Oryctolagus cuniculus: one gene and its partners. The protein of the gene in region 3 purifies or fractionates together with the protein of the main gene of each other region. This does not show direct contact. Links are inferred from orthologs where the notes say so. Each region holds a gene or a part of one and is shown on either strand. Other genes may lie near its edges.

The links.
Region 1: the proteins of AP3M1 (region 3) and RABL6 purify together in Homo sapiens (co-immunoprecipitation; 3 studies listed by BioGRID and IntAct, counting the BioPlex papers as one, with this or other methods). This does not show direct contact. The link is inferred for Oryctolagus cuniculus from reciprocal best matches to the Homo sapiens genes AP3M1 and RABL6.
Region 2: the proteins of AP3M1 (region 3) and AP3B2 purify together in Homo sapiens (co-immunoprecipitation; 3 studies listed by BioGRID and IntAct, counting the BioPlex papers as one, with this or other methods). This does not show direct contact. The link is inferred for Oryctolagus cuniculus from reciprocal best matches to the Homo sapiens genes AP3M1 and AP3B2.
Region 4: the proteins of AP3M1 (region 3) and AP3S2 purify together in Homo sapiens (co-immunoprecipitation; 3 studies listed by BioGRID and IntAct, counting the BioPlex papers as one, with this or other methods). This does not show direct contact. The link is inferred for Oryctolagus cuniculus from reciprocal best matches to the Homo sapiens genes AP3M1 and AP3S2.

What each region holds. Positions count from the first base shown.
Region 1 is NC_091432.1:237,241,407-237,246,380, reverse strand, and holds the start of RABL6 (rab-like protein 6), read right to left. Parts: upstream 3,307-4,974; 5' UTR 3,054-3,306; coding exon 2,924-3,053; intron 1-2,923. Other genes in the region: CCDC183 (coiled-coil domain-containing protein 183), read right to left, coding at 3,496-3,614, 3,883-3,976, 4,048-4,158, 4,311-4,859. UniProt on the Homo sapiens protein: May enhance cellular proliferation. May reduce growth inhibitory activity of CDKN2A.
Region 2 is NC_091443.1:101,580,645-101,585,691, reverse strand, and holds the start of AP3B2 (AP-3 complex subunit beta-2), read left to right. Parts: upstream 1-1,741; 5' UTR 1,742-1,998; coding exon 1,999-2,111; intron 2,112-5,047. Other genes in the region: uncharacterized protein, read left to right, coding at 61-265, 536-798, 1,305-1,337.
Region 3 is NC_091446.1:65,204,336-65,209,154, forward strand, and holds the start of AP3M1 (AP-3 complex subunit mu-1), read right to left. Parts: upstream 3,291-4,819; 5' UTR 2,965-3,290; intron 1-2,964. Other genes in the region: ADK (adenosine kinase), read left to right, coding at 3,482-3,546. UniProt on the Homo sapiens protein: Part of the AP-3 complex, an adaptor-related complex which is not clathrin-associated. The complex is associated with the Golgi region as well as more peripheral structures.
Region 4 is NC_091443.1:99,932,546-99,937,439, forward strand, and holds the start of AP3S2 (AP-3 complex subunit sigma-2), read right to left. Parts: upstream 3,307-4,894; 5' UTR 3,279-3,306; coding exon of another isoform or gene 3,246-3,278; 5' UTR 3,217-3,245; coding exon 3,148-3,216; intron 1-3,147. UniProt on the Homo sapiens protein: Part of the AP-3 complex, an adaptor-related complex which is not clathrin-associated. The complex is associated with the Golgi region as well as more peripheral structures.

The sequences.
Region 1 (4,974 bases), on a different chromosome or scaffold from region 3:
GAGACCCTCGGCCGCCCCAGTCCCACCTGGCGGAGACCCTCGGCCGCCCCAGTCCCACCTGGCGGAGACCCTCGGCCGCCCCAGTCCCACCTGGCGGAGACCCTCGGCCGCCCCAGTCCCACCTGGCGGAGACCCTCGGCCGCCCCAGTCCCACCTGGCGGAGACCCTCGGCCGCCCCAGTCCCACCTGGCGGAGACCCTCGGCCGCCCCAGTCCCACCTGGCGGAGACCCTCGGCCGCGCCAGTCCCACCTGGCGGAGACCCTCGGCCGCCCCAGTCCCACCTGGCGGAGACCCTCGGCCGCCCCAGTCCCACCTGGCGGAGACCCTCGGCCGCCCCAGTCCCACCTGGCGGAGACCCTCGGCCGCCCCAGTCCCACCTGGCGGAGACCCTCGGCCGCCCCAGTCCCACCTGGCGGAGACCCTCGGCCGCCCCAGTCCCACCTGGCGGAGACCCTCGGCCGCGCCAGTCCCACCTGGCGGAGACCCTCGGCCGCCCCAGTCCCACCTGGCGGAGACCCTCGGCCGCGCCAGTCCCACCTGGCGGAGACCCTCGGCCGCCCCAGTCCCACCTGGCGGAGACCCTCGGCCGCCCCAGTCCCACCTGGCGGAGACCCTCGGCCGCCCCAGTCCCACCTGGCGGAGACCCTCGGCCGCCCCAGTCCCACCTGGCGGAGACCCTCGGCCGCCCCAGTCCCACCTGGCGGAGACCCTCGGCCGCCCCAGTCCCACCTGGCGGAGACCCTCGGCCGCCCCAGTCCCACCTGGCGGAGACCCTCGGCCGCCCCAGTCCCACCTGGCGGAGACCCTCGGCTGCCCCAGTCCCACCTTGCCTGCAACCGTGCGATCATGTCCTTGTATCTCACACCACGAAAAGCCCACGCCTACCCCAGTGCCCGCGCCTCGCGCCGGGGCCACGTCCAGCGTCCAGCACTGCCTGTCCTCGGCACCCAGCGAGCCCACGCCTCGCTCCCCTGCTCCCCACCAGGCCTGGAGGCCCCAGCCCAGCCCCCCTCTGGGGCCGGAACCCACTCCCCACTCCCCTACTCTCCCACTCCCCACTCCCCTGTGGTCCTGGCCCCAGACCCCTCTGCTCAGCGGACTCGCTCCACCCACGCCTTGTCCTCCGGCCGAGCTGCCCGCCGCCTCCTCGCAAGCACGTGGGAACAGTGACCCTAACTAAAAAGGGCCGCCACTAAAGGCACGTCCTCCAGACCACGTCCCCCAGACCACAGTCCCCTCAGACCACAGAACCCCTCAGACCACGTCCCCCAGACCACGTCCCCTCAGACCACGGAACCCCTCAGACCACGGAACCCCTCAGACCACGTCCCCTCAGACCACGGAACCCCTCAGACCACGTCCCCTCAGACCACATCCCCCCGACGACGTCCCCCAGACCACGGAACCCCTCAGACCACGTCCCCCAGACCACGGAACCCCTCAGACCACGTCCCCCAGACCACAGTCCCCTCAGACCACGTCCCCCAGACCACAGTCCCCTCAGACCACGGAACCCCTCAGACCACGTCCCCTCAGACCACATCCCCCCGACGACGTCCCCCAGACCACGGAACCCCCCAGACCACGTCCCCCAGACCACGGAACCCCTCAGACCACGTCCCCCAGACCACGGAACCCCTCAGACCACAGTCCCCTCAGACCACGGAACCCCTCAGACCACAGTCCCCTCAGACCACGCCCCTAACCTGACCTGCCTGCGGGCCTCCCTGCTGTATCCTCCTGCCTGCGACACTATTGAGAGCCTGGGGCCGGCGCCGGGGCGTAGCGGGTTAAAGCTGCCGCCTGCAGTGCCCGCATCCCACATAGGCGCTGGTTCCAGTCCGGCTGCTCCACTTCCGATCCAGCTCCTGCTGTGGCCTGGGAGAGCAGTGGACGATGCCCGAGTCCTTGGGCCCTGCACCCGCGTGGGAGACCCGGATGGAGCTCCAGGCTGACTTCGGCTTGGCCCAGCCCTGGCCGTTACAACCATCTGGGGAGTGAACCAGCGGGTGGGAGACCCCTCCCTCTCCCTCCCCCTCTCCCCCTCCCCCTCCCTCCTTCCCTCTCCCTCTCTCCCTCTCTCCCTCTGTAACTCTGTCCCTGAAATAAATAACGAAACCTTTAAGGAGCTGCGCTAAGTCCTCCTCTGCCCGGGGGGGCTGGGCCCGGCCACCCTCACCCTCGGGACCCGGAGGAGGCTCAGCTCTGCCCAGCCCGCAGCTCCCCTACGGAGGGCGCAGGGTCGCTCCGGGGAAGGCTCGGGGCAGGTGAGCGGTGAGCGCCGCCCCGCCAGCCCAGGGGCCTCCGGGCCGCAGGTGTCCAGTTGCAGGCCTCCCTGCACGGCGCTGGGATTCGGTGTCAGGCAAGGCCTGGGGACCGCAGCCAAGCAAGGGCGCGCGCGCGCGTCCGCGCCGACCGCACGCGGGGCCGACGGAGGTCCCCGCTGACACCTGTAAGCTCCCGCGCGGACTCGCGGGGCCCAACCTAAACGCCCGCACCGCCCTCCAGGCCACGTCCTCACCAAAATAAAGAAAGAAGAAGGCGGCGAGAAGTGTGGCGCAGCTCGCACCCCGGCTCCACGCTGAGCTCCAGGCGCACGGACGACCCGAGACCCCAGGCCGGCGGCTTCCAGCGCCCACCGGCCCTGCTGCGCGCGCGGGCCAAGCCCCCCGGCGGGGTCCCCCGCAGGTCCCCTGGGCCAACAGGGCGCCGCAGCTGCCGGGGCAGGTTCTGCGGGCAGCGCCGCGCAGCCCGGGTCGCCGTCGCGCGCGCTGGCGGCGGCGGCGACCTGCGGCCCCCGGCCGCCCACCCCGCCCCGGCCGCCGCCCGCAGGGACCCCCGCCCCCCGCCGCCCACCCCGCCCCGGCCGCCGCCCGCAGGGACCCCCGCCCCCCGCCGCCCCCCGCCGGCCCGCGCACTCACTGTTGTACTGCACCCCCTTGGCGAAGCGCCTCTGCAGCGCCTGGTTCATGGACTGCAGCCCGGCGGGGATGTGCTTGTCCCGGCCAGGGGCCTGCTCCGACCCCACGAGCTTCTTGAGAGCGGAGAACATCTTCGCGCGGCGCGTCCGAGCCTGCGAGGCCCGGGAGCTCAGCTGCGGCGCGGCGCGGCGCGCACCATGTCCCGGCGGCCCAGACCCTTCCCGAGGCCGGAGCCGGCGCGCCCTCCCGCAGGCCGAGCCTGCCTGAGGCGGCTGCCGGTCCTCAGCTGCGGCGGCTCCGCGCTGGCCCCCGAGGCCCCCAGCGCGGCCGCTCTCCGCCCGCCAGCGCCGCCATCTTGGCGCCGCTCGGCTACGGCGCGCCGCGAGGGCCACGGGCGCGGGGCGGACGGCGCACGCGCGGGCCGGGCTACCCGGGACACGCCCCCGCCCCGCCCCCGCCCCGCCCCCGAGCCCCGCCCAGTCCCTGTCCCTGGAGACCCCGAGGGCCGCGCGCCTAGGCAATGCTGGAAAAATGTTTATTCGTGTACGAAAGCGCGGGCTGGGGCGGGCGGGGCTACTTCTTCTTCTTCTTGGCCGACTTGAACTTCGCTTCGATCAGCCCCTGCGCCTGCTTCTTGATGTCGGCCCGCGACGGGACGTAGCTGTGGTCCATGTCCGCGAACTGGAAGGTGTCTGCGGGGCGCGGCGCGGCTGGCAGCCCGGTCCCTGCGCGCCCGCCGCTGTCCCCCGCACCCTCCGACTCGCGGCCGCCTCTCCGCGCTGCCGCCCCTGGGCCGTGACTTGTCCCCGAGGCCGTGGCTGCCCTGCGCCGCCGCCCGGTCACCCCATCACTTAAAGGCCCTCTGGGTTCCTGCAGCCCCACGGGGATGACCAGGTTGACCAGGATGTGCCGGTGGGACAGGGGCACGCGCCCCGCCCCCAGCCCAGGCCCCCCGCGCACCTATCATATCCTCCAGGTCCTCAAAGCTGATCCGGGTGTTGCGCTTCTCCTTGAGGGTCGAGGACTCCAGCGCCTCCCTCACCTTCGTGTCCACCTGCAGGCACAGCCCCCCCTCAGCTCTGCGGCCACCGGGGCTGCCCGGGGGGCCCGCCCGCCCCCGGTTACCTCTTCAGTCCTGGACAGCGCCTGCACTTTGTCAGCTAGGTACGTGAGCTTCCGCTCGCAGAAGGCCAGCTTGGAGCACACGTCCAGGGTGTCGGGGGGTGCTGCTTCCTCCTGTGTGGCGGGGGGAGGGCTTGGGCTGGCCTGGGCCTCACCTCGGGGCCCCCATCCCACCCCTCCACCCGGCCTGGGCCCCACTGCTGGGAGGGGGCCTTGGGCTGGCCTCTGCCTCCCCCCGGCGAGCGGCCCCCACCCGCGCTGTGCACCTGTGCAGGGAGGGGGCCTTGGGCTGGCCTCTGCCTCCCCCCAGCGAGCGGCCCCCACCCGCGCTGTGCACCTGTGCAGGGAGGGGGCCTTGGGCTGGCCTCTGCCTCGCCCTGGCAAGCGGCCCCCACCCGCCGGGCACCTGTGCGGCCGGCAGGGCGACGCCGATGAGCCGGATGTAGAGGTTGTCGATGCCGGTCTGGATGGTCAGCAGCAGCTTCTGGCTCTTGGCCACGCTCTTGCGAGCCAGCCGCAGCCGGTCCTCCTCCGCCCGCAGCGTGTCTGTCAGCCTCTTCTCGATGGAGTTGAAGCTGAGAACGGTGGGGGCACCTGAGGGCCGGGCCGGGCGGCGCCCAGCTCCCCTGCAGGGCTGCGGGAGCCCCCGCGCACCTGACGGAGCTGGGGGTCTGGTGGAACTTGAGCAGGGCCTCCTCCAGTTCCAGCTTCTTCATCAGGGCCTCCAGCTGCGCCCGCCGCCCCTCGCAGTCCTGCATCTGCAGCCCCAGGTTCTCCTCGGTGTTGTTCTGAGACAGGAACCGGCCCGCGATGTCCTGGCAGCCCGGGGAGAGAAGGCAGGACTGAGCCAAGAAGGCAGGGAGGGGGCTCCCGGAGGGCGAGCCGAGCCAGCCGAGGGCGCCACGGCTGGGGACGAAGTCCCGCCCTGCA
Region 2 (5,047 bases), on a different chromosome or scaffold from region 3:
AACCACTCTTTCCAGCAGCATGTGCAAATGCCCTGTGGCCTAATCCCTTTCTCTTCCCAGACCGTGACTGGGGCAGTCAGCACCATTAAGTTCTTCCTCTCTGAGGCTTACCTGGGTCAGCACTTTGAGATTGTGGAGCTGAGCGACAGGGAGCCGGAGCCTGGAGACCTCTTCCTGTTCAGGATGATGTCCCCCTTGCGAGACTTTTGGTGCGGGGCCCACGTGGGTGTATACTGTGGCCGTGGAGAGATCATCCACTTTGAGGGTGAGCACCTCCAACTGAAACACACGGGCCCACGAGTGCAGGGAGGGGCGGCCGGGCCATGCACACCCCAGCAGCGGGCCGGCCGTTCCGGGGTGAATACCGTGGTCCTGGGCTGTGGGCGTGGGTCTCTGAAGATGCCTGCTTGAGCAGCCAGAGTGTGGGGCTCAGGGGGCCTCAGGGGGCCTCAGGTGGCGGCAGTGCGGGTGCAGGGCCACGGGGCACAGCGCCTAAACCTGGCTCTGATGTGTCGCTGGCTGGCAAAACCCACAGGCAGGAGCTCCGGCGGCTTCGGGTTGGACTCCGTAGTGCGCTCCTCCGAAGGCGTGGTGTGCAAACAGGGCCAGCGCCCGCTGCTGCGCTCCCGCCTGCTCTGGCGTGTGCTAAGGCGGCGCGGCGGCGTGGACCGCGCGCTGTTGGAGCGCCGCGTCCGCGAGGCCATGGACGCCGACCCGCCTGTCTATCACCCCACGCGCAGCAACTGCGTGCACTTTGCTCTGAGCCTGATCCACCCGGAAGGGGACCCCGGCAGCTTGGTAAGCGCGGATTCCATGGGGGGGGGGGGTCCTCTTAAATCCAGACCCTCTGCCCTCCACCGGAGCCGCGTGCCTCCGAACTCCAGATGAACTTTATTCGGGCAGGCCCCAAGCTCACAGATCCCGGCCACATTCTCATTCCCCCAACAGACTCTTCCTACTGAGCCAAGCTCCGCCTTCCCAGGCCCTGTCCATTTCCACCTGGCCTCTGAGCATTCGCGGTCCCTGTCCACAGAGGAGCTGTTAATTTTATTACAATTAGACCAGTCCTTATGAACTCTAACACGACCCAAGCCCAGCCCAGAGGTCCCTGGCCACCCAACTTGATGCCTCAAACGCTGGCCCATGGAGAGCCTACTCCTCCTGCCAGCCGAGTTTGTTTTCTTCTTTCTGAGTCTGGCCGGCAGTCCTACCTTCCTCTCCCCCGCCCCACCCCGACATCACACGACCCAGGAGTCCTGGTGGTCGCACCAGCCCCTAACCCAGCCTTTTCCCTTCCTTCCTAGGTGTCTATGGACATGGACCTAACCGTGGACTAGGCGTGACCTTGGGCCCTCCTTGATGGTGTGGGGACCTCAGAAGGGGTCATTAAAGTATTTTTCCAAAGCTTCATTACGGTTTCGCTGTCTTCTGTAACCCATAACCCACCTCTCTGCCTGGAAGTCCCCCCCACCCCGCCAGCCTCTCCATAGACGGCACCACCTCCTGTCCCCCTCCCCCTTTGGGTGGGTGAGCATCCTCTCCTGTGTCTGTGGTGAGCGGAGCCGCTAGGCCAGGCGGTCGCAGGACGGGGCAGGCGTTGCGCATCCCCGGGACGGCCGTCCCCTTCTGCGCCCACCAGCCTCACCCACCCCAAGCCTGGCAGGTGCGCGAGGTCCCTTTAAAGGGCAGGAACCATCCGGGAGAGGGGATTTCCGTGGGATTGGGGCGGGGCCGGCGCGGCTGCCCTCTCCGCCCCCTTGCGGACGCGCCCTCGGCTCGCCGACGCCGGTGCCTTTAAGAACCTCGGCGCGCGGCCCTGATTGATGCGCCCGCGCACAGCAGCAGCCCCGCCGCCAACACCACCACCCGCAGCTTCTGCAGAGCGCGGGCCGCGCACCGACCTCGTCCGCCCAGCGCGGCCTCCCGGCCTCGGCCCCGGCGCGGACCCCGGCCCCGCAGCCTCCTCCTGCCCAGCGAAGCCCTACCCCCGGCCTCCCCATGTCGGCCGCCCCCGCCTACAGCGAAGACAAGGGCGGCTCCGCCGGCCCCGGGGAGCCCGAATACGGCCACGACCCGGCGAGCGGCGGCATCTTCTCCTCCGACTACAAGCGGTGAGCGAGCGCGCGGAGGGCCGGGCCTGGGCGAGGCGCGCGGGCACCATGGACAGCGCCCGGGCCCTCCCGCCCGCCTGGCCCCGCACAGGCCCCGCCCCGGCCCCGGCCCGGGCCCTGGCCCCGCCGGAAGGCCGCCCAGCCCCTTCCCTGCAGCCCGGGCCCGATGGGCGCTCCCCGTCCGGAGGGGCAGACCCGGAGTGGGGGCTGGGCCAGCCTGCTTCCTCTCTGGGGTTCCTCCTGTTTGCAGCCGGCTTGCGAGTTTCCCACGTTTTTCCGCGCTAGGAGAGCGGGCTCCAGATTTTCTTTTAGGTGGGGGATGGGGATCTAGGCCGGCAAACAGGAGTTTGGACCTGGGGCCTCGCCCCGCGTGCAGACACAGGCCGGGCCCTTTCTCTGCCCCCTGGTCCCCACCTCCCACCCGACGCTGTCCTCCTGCCCCCCGACACTGCCCCTCTGTTTCAATCCCTTCCTCCAATCCGCTTTTGATTATTTTGTTTATCCGTACATTCTGCGATCAGCAATTATTAAAGGCCCGCCTTATGCTGGCCGGTGCTGACCACCGTGCAGCTGTGAGCGTGAGACGCTAACTGCTCTCAGGTTGCTATGGAGAGGCGCACAGATGAGAACCAGACAGTGACAGTTCGGTGCAGTGGGGGCACTGGGAGTGGGGCGAGGGGCTTCCCAGGCAGAGCAAAGCACTTGCACGAGAATGGGGAAGGAAGGAGAGTGGGGACCCCCGGCTTTGCGGGCACAGGTGCAGTGTGGCCAGAATCACCGTGCGAGCCACTGGAGTGACCAGAAATGAGGCTGGGAATGGCTGCTGGAGGGTTCCAAGCTGGTGCCATCACCAGATGGGTGTTTTGGAAGGATTACAGGCTGGACTGTGGAGAAGGGATGGCAGGTGAGACGAGTGAGGGGGCGTGACGGTGACAGGCAGAGCAGCAGTGGCCTAGGCTCCCCAGAGGGGCTGCGGATCTGAGGGCTATTGAGGAGGGGGGAGCTACAGACCTGGTGATTGTTGGATATGGGGCGTGGGGGTGGGAGAGAGGGGCTGGGAGAAGGTAAGGGAGACGCCCAGGTTACCAGCTCCTGAGCAGGATAGATGGGGCTGCTCTGTAGTGTAATCGGAGAGAGACGCATTGCAAGCATACTGAGCCCAGCTTGGGACAGGCTGAGATTGTAGCCCTCCGAGGGCCATGCAAGGCTAGTGGGTAGATGGGTATTGGGATTTGGATTCCATGAGAGCAGTCAGGGGATTGTTAATATACATGTGTCCGTTAAAGCTGCAGATGGACGTGAGTTCGGACAGAACTCAGAAAATAACATTAGGGGTGACCAGAGAACCTAAGAAGAAGTGAAGCAACAGGCAGGAAGATAACAAAGTGTGATTTCGGGAAGAAGGGGAATGGTCAGTAGTATCAGTGTCCACCAAGGTCAAGTCCAACAGGGAAGGAGATTTGAGACCATTGGATGACAATGGTCATCCAGTCCTCATCTCCTGCCCTAGGAGACCAGACAGGAACTAGATTTTTTTTTTCCCCCAACATTCTATCATGATCGACTTTAACCATGCAGAAAAGGTGAACAAATGCAACGGATGCACATGTGTCATCCATGTAGGTTTGGCCACTGTTGGAACGGCACCGTCTCTGCTTATCCATATCTGCATTTGGCTATGTTCGTGACCCAGCATCTAAACCCAGGCTGGAGTGAATAAAAGGGCAAGTGGGAGGTGAATAAGTAAAACAGTGAGTGGGAACGTGGCTTTTAAGAAGCTTGATTGCAAAGGAGAGAGAGAGAACTGCTCAAGGGAACTCCAGTTCTGAGGTTTGTTTGTCTCTTTTGCTGTTATTTTTGTGTTTGGTATGAGGCTGGGAGGCGTCTACAGCAAGCTGAATGTGGCTGGGTAGGAGACAGGAGTGTGGGAGGCGGGGAGGCAGGGGGCATAGAGGAAGCCCGGATCTCCGAGTGCCGGGAGGAGCAGCTCTGCCCAGACGGAGGACAAGCGGGCACAGGTGCGCACCGTGAGCTGCGGGGGATTTTACCTGCAGCCTTTCATTTTTGGGGAGAGGCAGGTAGTGGAGAGCAAGACTGGGAGTGGGAACTTTTCGGGTCGAGGGGCTCAGTACTCGGTACTCATGGCAAGTGAAGTCAACCAGCGCTGGCTGGCAGGTGGGGGCTGGCTGGCAGGCGGGGCGTGGAGGGCTAAGGAGGTGACCAAAGGATGGCCCCAGGGTGGTGGGGTGGAGATAGAGATAAAAGGCTGAGAGGAAGGAAGAAACCAAGGGCTGGCTCTGCCAAGGCAAGGGAGGAGCCCGAGGCTTGGGGTCAGAGATGGGGAGGGGCTGTGGAAGGCTCCCCGGGAAGCTGAGGTCTGGGGGTGGTCATGGGGGGGGTCCCTGGCTTCTGTTTGTACAACACCCTGCCCCTCTGCCTGGAGTCTGGGATGTGGGGTGTAGACTTAGCCCCCTTTTTGTCACTGTAACTAAAATATTCACTTCTTGGGAAAGGAGAGGTCTAGTTCGGCTTATGGAGTGGAGGCTACGGTGCAGCAGCAGGTAGCCCTGTAGTCCGGCGTCTCTCATGGGCGCGGAGAGACGGTCACACCGTGAGCCAAGAAGCAGAGAGGGGAAACTCCTAGGCCGAACTTGAACTCTGATAATAATCAACCCTCCGAGGAGGAGCCCCCACTGACCTGCACGCCTCCCACCAGACATGCCTCACAGAGGCTGTCACTGGATCAAGTCGGCACCTTACTCCGGCAACCTTTAGCGTATCTGCGTGAGGTTTGGGGAGACAAGTCCTGCTCAACCCGAAACACCCAGTCTCCGCCCTCTGTCCCTCCTGGGGCCTGGCCTCCCAGCAGTAAGAAACCAGCGCCTCCCTCCCCGCCAGTGTCCGATTACTGAGTTTCAGGGCCGGGCTGTCTGGTG
Region 3 (4,819 bases):
ATGAATAAAATGTGGAATGACTGAGTTAATTAACAAACCCAGAAAAATCTGATACCTCAGAATACTTTGTTTATCATCCATTAGTACATAAACTTATCTATGCTGTAATTGCAGGAACTCTATCTTGTTCCTCCTTATATCTGCAAGTGTCTAGTATACAAAATGTATTCAAAACTATTTGTTGAATGAGAATAAGAGGAATATAATGTTCTTTGTCTCACAAGACACAATTTTTTCTCACATGGAGATGCATTTTTAATACATAGAGGACACTGGTGATCTTGGTAAAAGGGGTTTTAGTGGTAGTTCAGTGGAAAACTGGAATAAAGGCATTGCAGTGTCCTGAGAAATAAATAGCAAATAGGAAAAAAGAGAGATGAATAAATTCTAAAGATACAGCTGTAAAGGGAATTGAAAAACAGGAAAATAAAGGGCTGTCACCGTGGTGCAGTGGGTTAAGCTGCCACCTGCAATGCTGACAACCTGTATGAGCACCAGTTCGAGTCCAGCCTGCTCCATTTCCAATCCAGTTCCCTGCTAATGTGCCTAGGAAAGCAGAAAAAGATGGTGAAGTACTTGGGCTTCTGCTATCCAGAAGCAGCCTCGTGGCTTTGGCCTGGCGCAGCCATGGTCATCGTGGTCATTTGGGGGAGTGAATCAGTAGATGGAAGCTAGCATTCTCTCTCTGCCTTTCAAGTAAATACATAAATCTTTCAGAAGAAAAGGAAGACAGGAAAAAAAATGGAGTAGATCCTGAAAGGTAAGAAGAATATTTCTCAAGGTTTAAAGGATGGTATGGACAGAGAGGGAAAAGCTGACGCAGGAGTGAGGGAATAAATGAAAGAAACGCCTTGAGGACACGGGAGAGGATGGCATTGGGAGTCAATGTGATTTAAAGAGAAGGGACCCTTTTAACTCTTCAAATAGAAGAGAAGAAAGTTTGTATTTGGTTTCAAGAAAATGATGACTTCTGTTTTCTCTGCATAATGCAATGGAAAGCCTCTTTTCCAAAAATACCATTTACGGGGCCAGTGCTGTGATATAGCAGGTAAAGCCACCGCCTGCAGTGCCGGCATCCCATATGGGCACCGGTTTGAGTCCCAGCTTTTCCACTTCTGATCCAGCTCTCTGCTGTGGCCTGGGAAAGCAACAGAAGATGGCCCGATTGCTTGGGCCCTGCACCCGTGTGGGAGACCCAGAGGAAGCACCTGGCTCCTGGCTTCAGATCGGCGCAGCTCTTGACAATTGTGGCCAATTGGAGAGTGAACCAGCGGATTGAGGGCCTCTCTCTGCCTCTCCTCTTTCTATGTAACTCTGACTTTCAAATAGATAAATAAATAAATCTTAAAGAAAAGAAAAAATAGAGAATTAAAAAAAATACCATTTGCTACTCATGAATTGAGATAAAACAGAGCTACTTAAAAATATCTAGTATATTGTTGAAAAGTCAGAAACACTGTAAAAATCACAAGGTTTATAAGAAAGGCTTGATAAGAAAAACGATCCTTATTGTAGAGAGCTCCCCTACTGATGATGTGTAAGTTTCAGGTAATTCTTCCTTTGCTCCACTTTTCCTATGGTCTGACTTGAAAACGTCTGGGGCTGGCACTGTGGTGTAGCCAGTAGATAAAGCCGCTGCCGGCAGTGCCGGCATCCCATATGGGCGCCGATTCGAGTCCTGGCTGCTCCACTTCCCATCCAGCTCTCTGCTATGGCCTGGGAAAGCAGAAGATGGCCCAGGTCCTTGGGACCCTGCACCCGCGTGGGAGACTTGGAGGAAGCTCCTGGCTTCGGATCGGTTCTGGCAGTTGTGGCCAATTGGGGAGTGAACCAACAGATGGAAGACCTTTCTCTATCTGTCTGTGTAACTTTGACTTTCAAATAAATAAATAAATCTGTAAAAAAAAAGTTCCTTTTCTTTCCAAAATTAATTCACCCACTGGTACCATATCATCCTCTTCCTTCTCATCCGGCATTTTCTCTTCTCTTTCTAGAACCCTTAATCTAGCACACTGATTATTTGCTTTCTACTCCCAAACACATGTCTTGTATTCGAAACAATCAAATTCAAACTTTTCATCTCACCACTCTGAGTAATCGGGCTTCATGCCCCAAATGATGAAGGATTAGTCTACACTGCATTATTAAAGCAGCTCTCTCAAACGGCCCAAAGATTCTCTAGCCTTCAACACTTTACTACTTACTCTTCGATTTCAGCTTCCTGCTTGGGCTCTTGCAGCATTTCATGTCTGATAACCTTCCTGAACACACCACAAAGGCTTCTTATCATACTCTACGGAATGTCATGGTTTTGTTTCTCACCCTGAAACTTAATTCCCAGTTTAGTTCTCAGAGGTCGCCCCTCCGCACACAAAATTAATCTCTGCTAATCTCCACCTAAAACATTCTTTCCAATTCGATAAATCCCACAACTCCACACAACCCCTTCTCCTTTTGTGATGGCTCCCAATTTTATACTGACATCACCTTCTTCATCAAATAGGCTGTAAATTCAGGTGCAAACGAATCTAAAGCCAACATGCCACATTGCCCACTTTTCCACAGTCACCTTTCTTCGGAACAACGGCAACATCCTCCTAGTATTCTCCACCCTCTAACAGGATGTCCGCTCAGGGCCATTAGGAGTTTTGTCATCCAAAAAGGAACCCTGGGGCTAATTCGAATAGTCAGAACTCCAGCTCCCTGAGGCAACAAGACCCTTTTCCCGTCCGGGAGCACGGAGAAGGACGCCTACAAGCAGGACCTTGTGCCTGGGAACACTGCCCTGCAGGTGCATCTTTCTCTTCCGGCCCAGCTGGCAGGAAAGCCCGGAAGGCCGGGAGCCGGAGAGAGGTGCGGCTCCAGGTCGCAGCAACAGAGACGCTCCTGGGGCCCAGAGCCTCAGCCATTCAGCCTACTACCCAGCTGTCCCCTGTCTGCAGACTCCCCAGTCTCCGCACTCACCCGGACACCCAGGCCAGTCAGTCTGATTCGGCGCCGGGTCCTCTCCGGACCAAAGCTGAGGCAGCAGAGAAAGCCGTGAGGACCCCGCAGTTGGAGTGCCCAGAAGATCGCCTGACTAACAGCTTCAAAGACTCAAACTCGGTCTCCCGAATTAGAAAGATTAAATAGCAAGATAGGCGTTAGGTGAGAGAAAAGAAATTTCTTAATGTTTGGGATTTAAGTCTGCTAGTTCATCTAGGATCTAGGAAAAGGGCGGGATTCCGCACCGTTTGGACTCAGGCGCTCATCTGCAGCCTAACTCAGTCTCGGGTCCCCTACAGTGGAGTGGGTGGGGCCATGAGGGGGCGGGGCAATACAGGGGTAGAGCCAATGGTGGTGGGTGAGAGAGTCATGGAATGGGCGGTGTTTCGGAGGGCGGGGTTTGGAGAAAAAAGGCGGTGATGCGTGGAGGGGGCGGGCTCAGAGGGCCGAGGGGGTGGGGCGGTCGGTGGAGCCCAAGTAGGGTGGGAGCGCGAAGATGGCAGCTGCTGAGGAAGAGCCAAAGCCCAAAAAACTGAAGGTGGAGGCGCCGCGAGCGCTGAGGTGAGCGCTGCCCGAAGTGGGGAGGAGGGTGACGGCGCCTTCAGCAAGCTAGGGCCCACGTGGGGTTGCGCAGCCCCGGCGTTCGGTGGTGTCCGGCTGCCTGCCTGCATGGGGCCAGCACGCCCGACCTGTCACTCAGGGAGCTGCTCGCGTGGCCGCGACCCCTCGCCCGTCCCCATCTAAGTTTACTTGACTGGTCGTCCGCTCCAGTGCAGCTCCGGTTCTGGCAGCTCTCCGCTAGTCAGGGCGGCCGGCGGTGGTTGGTGGTAGTGGGGGGAACTGAAGCCGATTGCAGGCACCACGTGCGTCCCGCGCTGCTGGACTGGTGCGACCCTGGAGGACCGGTCCGGAGCAGCGTCCGTAGGCAGCCACCTTCGCTTCCCAGAGGGAAAGCGGGGAGAAGGCCTGTGTCTGTCCAGCTCCGGGACAAACAGAATTCTTGGGAATTTTTTGACAAATGTCGAGGAAGGATGCCTTGACCTAAGGCATACGCACTTTGAAAACTGGCACCTTTGGAGACCTTCTGTCGGGGACCCATACCCCACCTGGGAGGCTTTGCAGGCCGAGTGGATGGGAAGGGCTGGTTTTCTTTTTTATTTGCATTTTTTTTGGCTGCAGTTTAGAATTTCTTTCCCCAACACCAGTCTCATGTATGATTGATGTTGCAACTTTAACTTACAAAAAGTCGTTTGTTAAAAACTGCCTTCCTAGCAAGTATAAAGTGCAGCGGCACAGTCTTTGATGATTTTGAAGTGTTCGTTGGAAGGCGGGGATTTTTTTAAATCTAAAAATAAACTTTCAAACTAATTTAAAGCTATTGAAACACTACTGATTATACAAATTCCATTTCTTCCAACTCTTCTTCGCTTCCAGAAGATTGATTTCATTCCTAATTGAAAACGTCATTTAGGGACATGGTAGTGTGTTCATACTGTTTTGAAAGGAGAGAGAGACTAAATCCCTGCCAGTGCTTCTTTTTTTTTTTTTTTTTTAAGATTTATTTATTTATTTGAAAGGCAGAGTTACAGAGAGGCTGAGGGGGAGAGAGAGAGAGAGAGAGAGAAATAAAGTAAGTCTTCCACACACTGGTCCACTCCCAAGATGACCGCAACGGTCGCAACCACGCAGATCCAAAGCCAGGAGCCAGGAGCTTCTTCCAGGTCTCTCACATGGGTGAGGGGCCCAAGGGCTTTAGCCATCTTCCACTACTTTCCTAGGCCACAGCAGAGAGCTGGATTGACAGTGGAGCATCCAGGACTCAAACCACTGCCCA
Region 4 (4,894 bases), on a different chromosome or scaffold from region 3:
ACCTTTTAAAAACTGACAAGGTCAGGCACTGTGGCATAGCAGGTAAAGCCACTGCCTACAGTGCCAGCATCCCATATGGGCTCTCTGCTATGGCCTGGGAAAGCAGTAGAAGTGGCCCAAGTCCTTGGACCCCTGCACCCACATGGGAGACCCGGAAGAAGCTCCTAGCTCCTGGCTTCGGACTGGTGCAGCTCCAGTTGCGGCCAACTGGGGAGTGAACCAGCGGATGAAAGACCTCTCTCTCTGTCTCTCCTTCTCTCTGTGTGTAACTCTGACTTTAAAATAAATAATAAATAAATCTTTAAAAAAAAAACGGGCAGGAACATCTTCTGAACTACAAGCTTATTCTCTAACTCTAAAGGGGAAGTGGTAGAGGGGAAATGATGTCAAACGGTCAGACTACCTAATTTCTAGTTCAATAAAAAGGTTAACTACCAGTTGCTTGCATGTTCCAGTTATTTTATCAACTCCTTTTATCTTTAATCTTCTGCAATCTTCACTCGTGAGTTTCTTATAAAAACCCTATGAGAGTCAAAGATTTACAAATAGCCAACAAGCACATAGACAAGATATTCATGGAACTAGAAATCAAAACCAGGGTAAGACACACCGCACTGGGCCAGCACTGTGCTGTAGTGATGCCGGTATCCCATATGGGCACCAGTTCGAGTCCTGGCTGCTCCACTTCCGATCCACCTCCCAAAAGCAGAAGATAGCCCAAGTGCTTGAGCCCCTGACTCAAGTGGGAGACCTGGAGGAATCTCTGGCTTCAGCCTGGCTCCCATCTGGGGAGCAAACAGCAGATGGAAGATCTCTCTCTGTCTCTCCTACCTCTTTCAAATAAATAAATACATCTTAAAAAAAAAAAAAAGATACACTGCACTCACTAAAATGCCTTTACTCAAAAAGATAGACAATGTTTATTATGAGGTGGAGAAATTGAAGGCTTATACAAAGCTGACAGAAATGAAACATCGTGCAGTCACGTGGAAAACAGTCTGGCAGTTCCTCAAAACATTCACCATAGAATTAGCATACGGCCCAGCAATGCTACTCCTGGGTACACACCCAAGAGGAATGAGAGAAATTCTGTTCACACAAAAACCTCACTGTCCACCCAGCATTATCACCAGAGCCAAAGCAGGAAACACCAACTGATGAATGGACACCAAAAGGTGGGGGACCCAGGGCAGGTGTCTGGCCTGGAAGCTAAGCTGCCAGGTCGGACAGCTGAGTCCCAGGTTCAAGGCCCAACTCTGCTCCTGCTCCAGCTTCCTGCAGATGCAGGTCGGGCAGGGGTGGCCGCAGTGGTGGCCCAAGTGACTGGGTCCACTCACGTGGGAGACCTGAAGCTGAGTTCCTGGATCTGGGCTGCACTGCCAGCCAGGGGCTATCTGGGGCATCTGGACAGTGAATCAGCTCCTTCTGCCTCTTAAATAAAAAAAGAAAGAAAAGATTTAACATTTTCTTCCAGGGCCAGCACTGTGGCACAGCAGGTTAAGCAGCCACCTGTGACACCGCATCCCGTGAGCGCCGGTTCAAATCCCTGCTGGCACCTGGGGGAAGCAGAACCAGGTGCTTCAGCCCCTGCCCCCAGGTGGGAGACCAGAGTGGAGCCCCTGGCTTCAGCCCAGCCGGCTATGGCTGTGGTGATCGTTTGGGGAATATACCAGAGGACGGAGGGCCTCTTTCTGTCTTTCCCTCTCTCTACTCTTCCAAATAAATACGTGTTTTTAAAATGTGACATATACATACAATGGAGTATTATTAGGCAACACAAAGTAATGAAGAACAGATACACGCTATAACATGGAAGAACATTAAGTAAAAGAAGATAGACACAAAAGACCACATATTGTCTGATTCCACTTAAATGGACTGTCCAGGATAGGCAAATTTAGGCAGAAGGGAGCTAAGTGGTTGCCCAGGCCTGCAGTATTTGCTGCTAATGGGCAGGGCTTCTAAGCAAAGTTGTGGTGATGGTTGCACACCTTTGTGAACACTACAAACCACTTGGAGCTACAGTGTATTTTTAAAGGTATTTGAGAGGCAGAGAGACGGAAAGAAACAGCAATAACTCCCCAAATGTCCTTGGCACCCAGACTGAAACCAATCCAGCCCCGGGGGTGGCAGGGACGCGGTGAGCTGAGCCATCACCTGCCGCCTCCTCAGGTCCGCAGAAGCTGGACTGAGGAGCGGAGCCCAGACCGGAAGTCTGGCATCCACCACGGCAGGTGGGCAGCCCACGCAGCACCTCGAGGCCGCGTCCCCGCATGCACACTTCAAGTAAGTGAACCGTGCGGTGGGTGAGGGATCTCAGCAACTGTCAGAAAAACACTGGGGTGGCGGGCGAGGATCCACAAACGCAAATACAGGTTTAACAGTGAGGCGGAATGCTTGTCATTTTTAGCGCGCTGTCGTCTGAAAAAATCTCGCTTTAGAAATCCTACGAAAAGGCTAGGGTTGTTTTTCATTTGTACTGGACAGAGACTGGAGTACAGGTCCGGAAGAGGTTTATTAGCTTGCCAAAAGCAGGAAAAGTGAGCTGTGTTTGTGTTTTTCTCGTGAAATGTTGTTTTTTTTTTTTTTTTTTTTTTGAAAATCCAAATTCACATGATCATTTATTGAGATGTCCCGCGGCAGCAAGCGTCATTTCCCACCAACTTCCCGCCCTAAAGCTGGCTTTCTTCAACCCTACAGTGCAGAGAAGCGCCCGGGCGGTCCCAAGCCAACACTGAAGCCAAGACCATTGCAAGAAAAGGACTTTCTCAGTCCTCCCGGCTAAAACAAGAATTTAAAGCAGATCAATGCTTTTCCCTCCTCATGCAACTGCGGCCAACAACCAGAAAGTAGAAACCAAGGGGCTCCAGCACTCATATTCTCGGCGAGGCACACTCCCCACCGCGGCTCCACCCCGGGAAGCGCCGGGGTCCCGAAAGGGTACAGAGGACAACAGGGCGGTGAGGCGGTGGCCTGCGGGCCGGACGTCGGCCCCTGCCCAAAGGACGCAAGGAGCTGAAGAGCGTGAGGGTCATGCGGGGCGCAGGAACCCGAAGTGGTCAACAAGCGGCGCGCAGAGAGGCCAAAGGGGGAGGGAAGAGGGCGCAGACGCCAGGAAGGGGCGTGGCGAAGCCGGGCCGCACTCACGAAACGCTGGTAGAAGCGGACCAGCCGTGGCTTTCCGTGGTTGTTGAAAACCAAAATTGCCTGAATCATCTTTGCGGACCATGCAACCCCCTCAGCACCTGCTGTTCCCAGAAAGCACCTCTTCCCGTCATAACACGGGCACTTCCGGTTGGTACGCGGCTAAGAGCCTCGCCCGGAAACTAGGCTCCGGCGCCCCGCAGTCCGAGCACTAAAGGGTCCGGGGCCCCCTGAGGCCCTGCAGAGGGCGGAGAGCTCGCCGGGGATGGGGCAGATGTGGACAGCAAGGAGCGAGACCGGATGGGACGCGAATCCGGATCCTGAGCCCCTCGTCCACACGGACCGCTGCATATCCAGAATCCTGGCCGGGGCGAAAAGCCGAGCACGTCGGAAAAGCAGATCCGGAGGCAGAAACGGCACCGTCCGCGTCGAATCCGCAGTCCTTTCCCGGGACGATCCGCTGAGTGTAGACCCCAGTTGGCGTGGCCATTCCTCGGCTAAGGAACGGTTAATTCGTGCTTCTTTCTCAGTGTTGCGCACAATGCTGCTGTGAATTAGGGTCGTCTCCAGGTGTAGGAGGGCTGCTGCCGGGGTAGCTGGTGAATGGGCGGATTCTGGGGTCTTTAATGCAGTTCCACGTGGAAGGCACTGCGGTCCCAAGTTGGGAAAGTTCTTGCTTTTTTCTGTTCGTGAGCTGGTGTATGTGAAGTGCAGCCCGTCCGTACACAGCGAATGGAGCTGCAGAGCTCTCTCCAGGGCTGTTTGGCAATATGTATTTAAAACACACACACACACACACACACACACTTTAAATATGTAAATTAGGCCCGGAGATTCCAGTTCTAGATTTTGTAATAAAATGGCTGAGGGTGTGTGAAAAGGTGCCTCAAGACACCCACCCCCTGCCCCCGGGTCGACGCTGTGGTGTAGCAGGTAAAGCCACTGCCTACAGTGCAGGCATCCCATAGGGCGCCGGTTCCAGTCCCGGCTGCTCTACTTCTGATCTAGCTCTCTGCTAATGGCCTGGGAAAAGCAGCAGAGGATGGCCCAGGTGCTTGGGCTCTTGCCACCCCCATGGGAGACCCAGAAGAAGATCCAGGCTCCTGGTTTTAGCCTAGTCCAGCCCTGGCTGTTGTTGCCATCTGTGGAGTGAACCAGCAGATGGAAGATCTCTGTCTCTCCCTTTCTCTCTGGAACTCTGCCTTTCAAATAAATTAATAAATAAATCTTTTAAAAAAAGTTTTAGGATAACTGGTTAGCACTTTGGAAATAGGCAAATTAGTTACATCATTTCATACCTACCCTTAAGTTATAGGCAGAGTTTAGTATAAAACCAAATAATAATCAAAATGGAAAACAAACATCTTAAAAGAGAATATATTTATTGTAGGAGCAATAAAAAATCACAAATAGAACATATACAATTAGAGAGATTCTAATTTTTGTAAGACAAATTTTTAAACATAGAAAATAGTTGTGGGGCCGACGCTGTGGCGTAGCAAGTAAAGCCACCCCCTGCAGTGTCAGCATCCCATATGGGCGTGAGTTCGAGTCCTGTCTGTTCCACTTCCCATCCAGCTCTCTGCTATGGCCTGGGAAAGCAGTAGAAGATGGCCCAAGTCCTTGGGCCCCTGTACCCTTGTGGAAGATCCAGAAGAAGCTTCTGGCTCATGGCTTCGGATAGGCCCAGCTACTGCCATTGTGGTCATTTGGGGAATGGATAGAAGACTTCCCTCTCTTTCTCTGACTT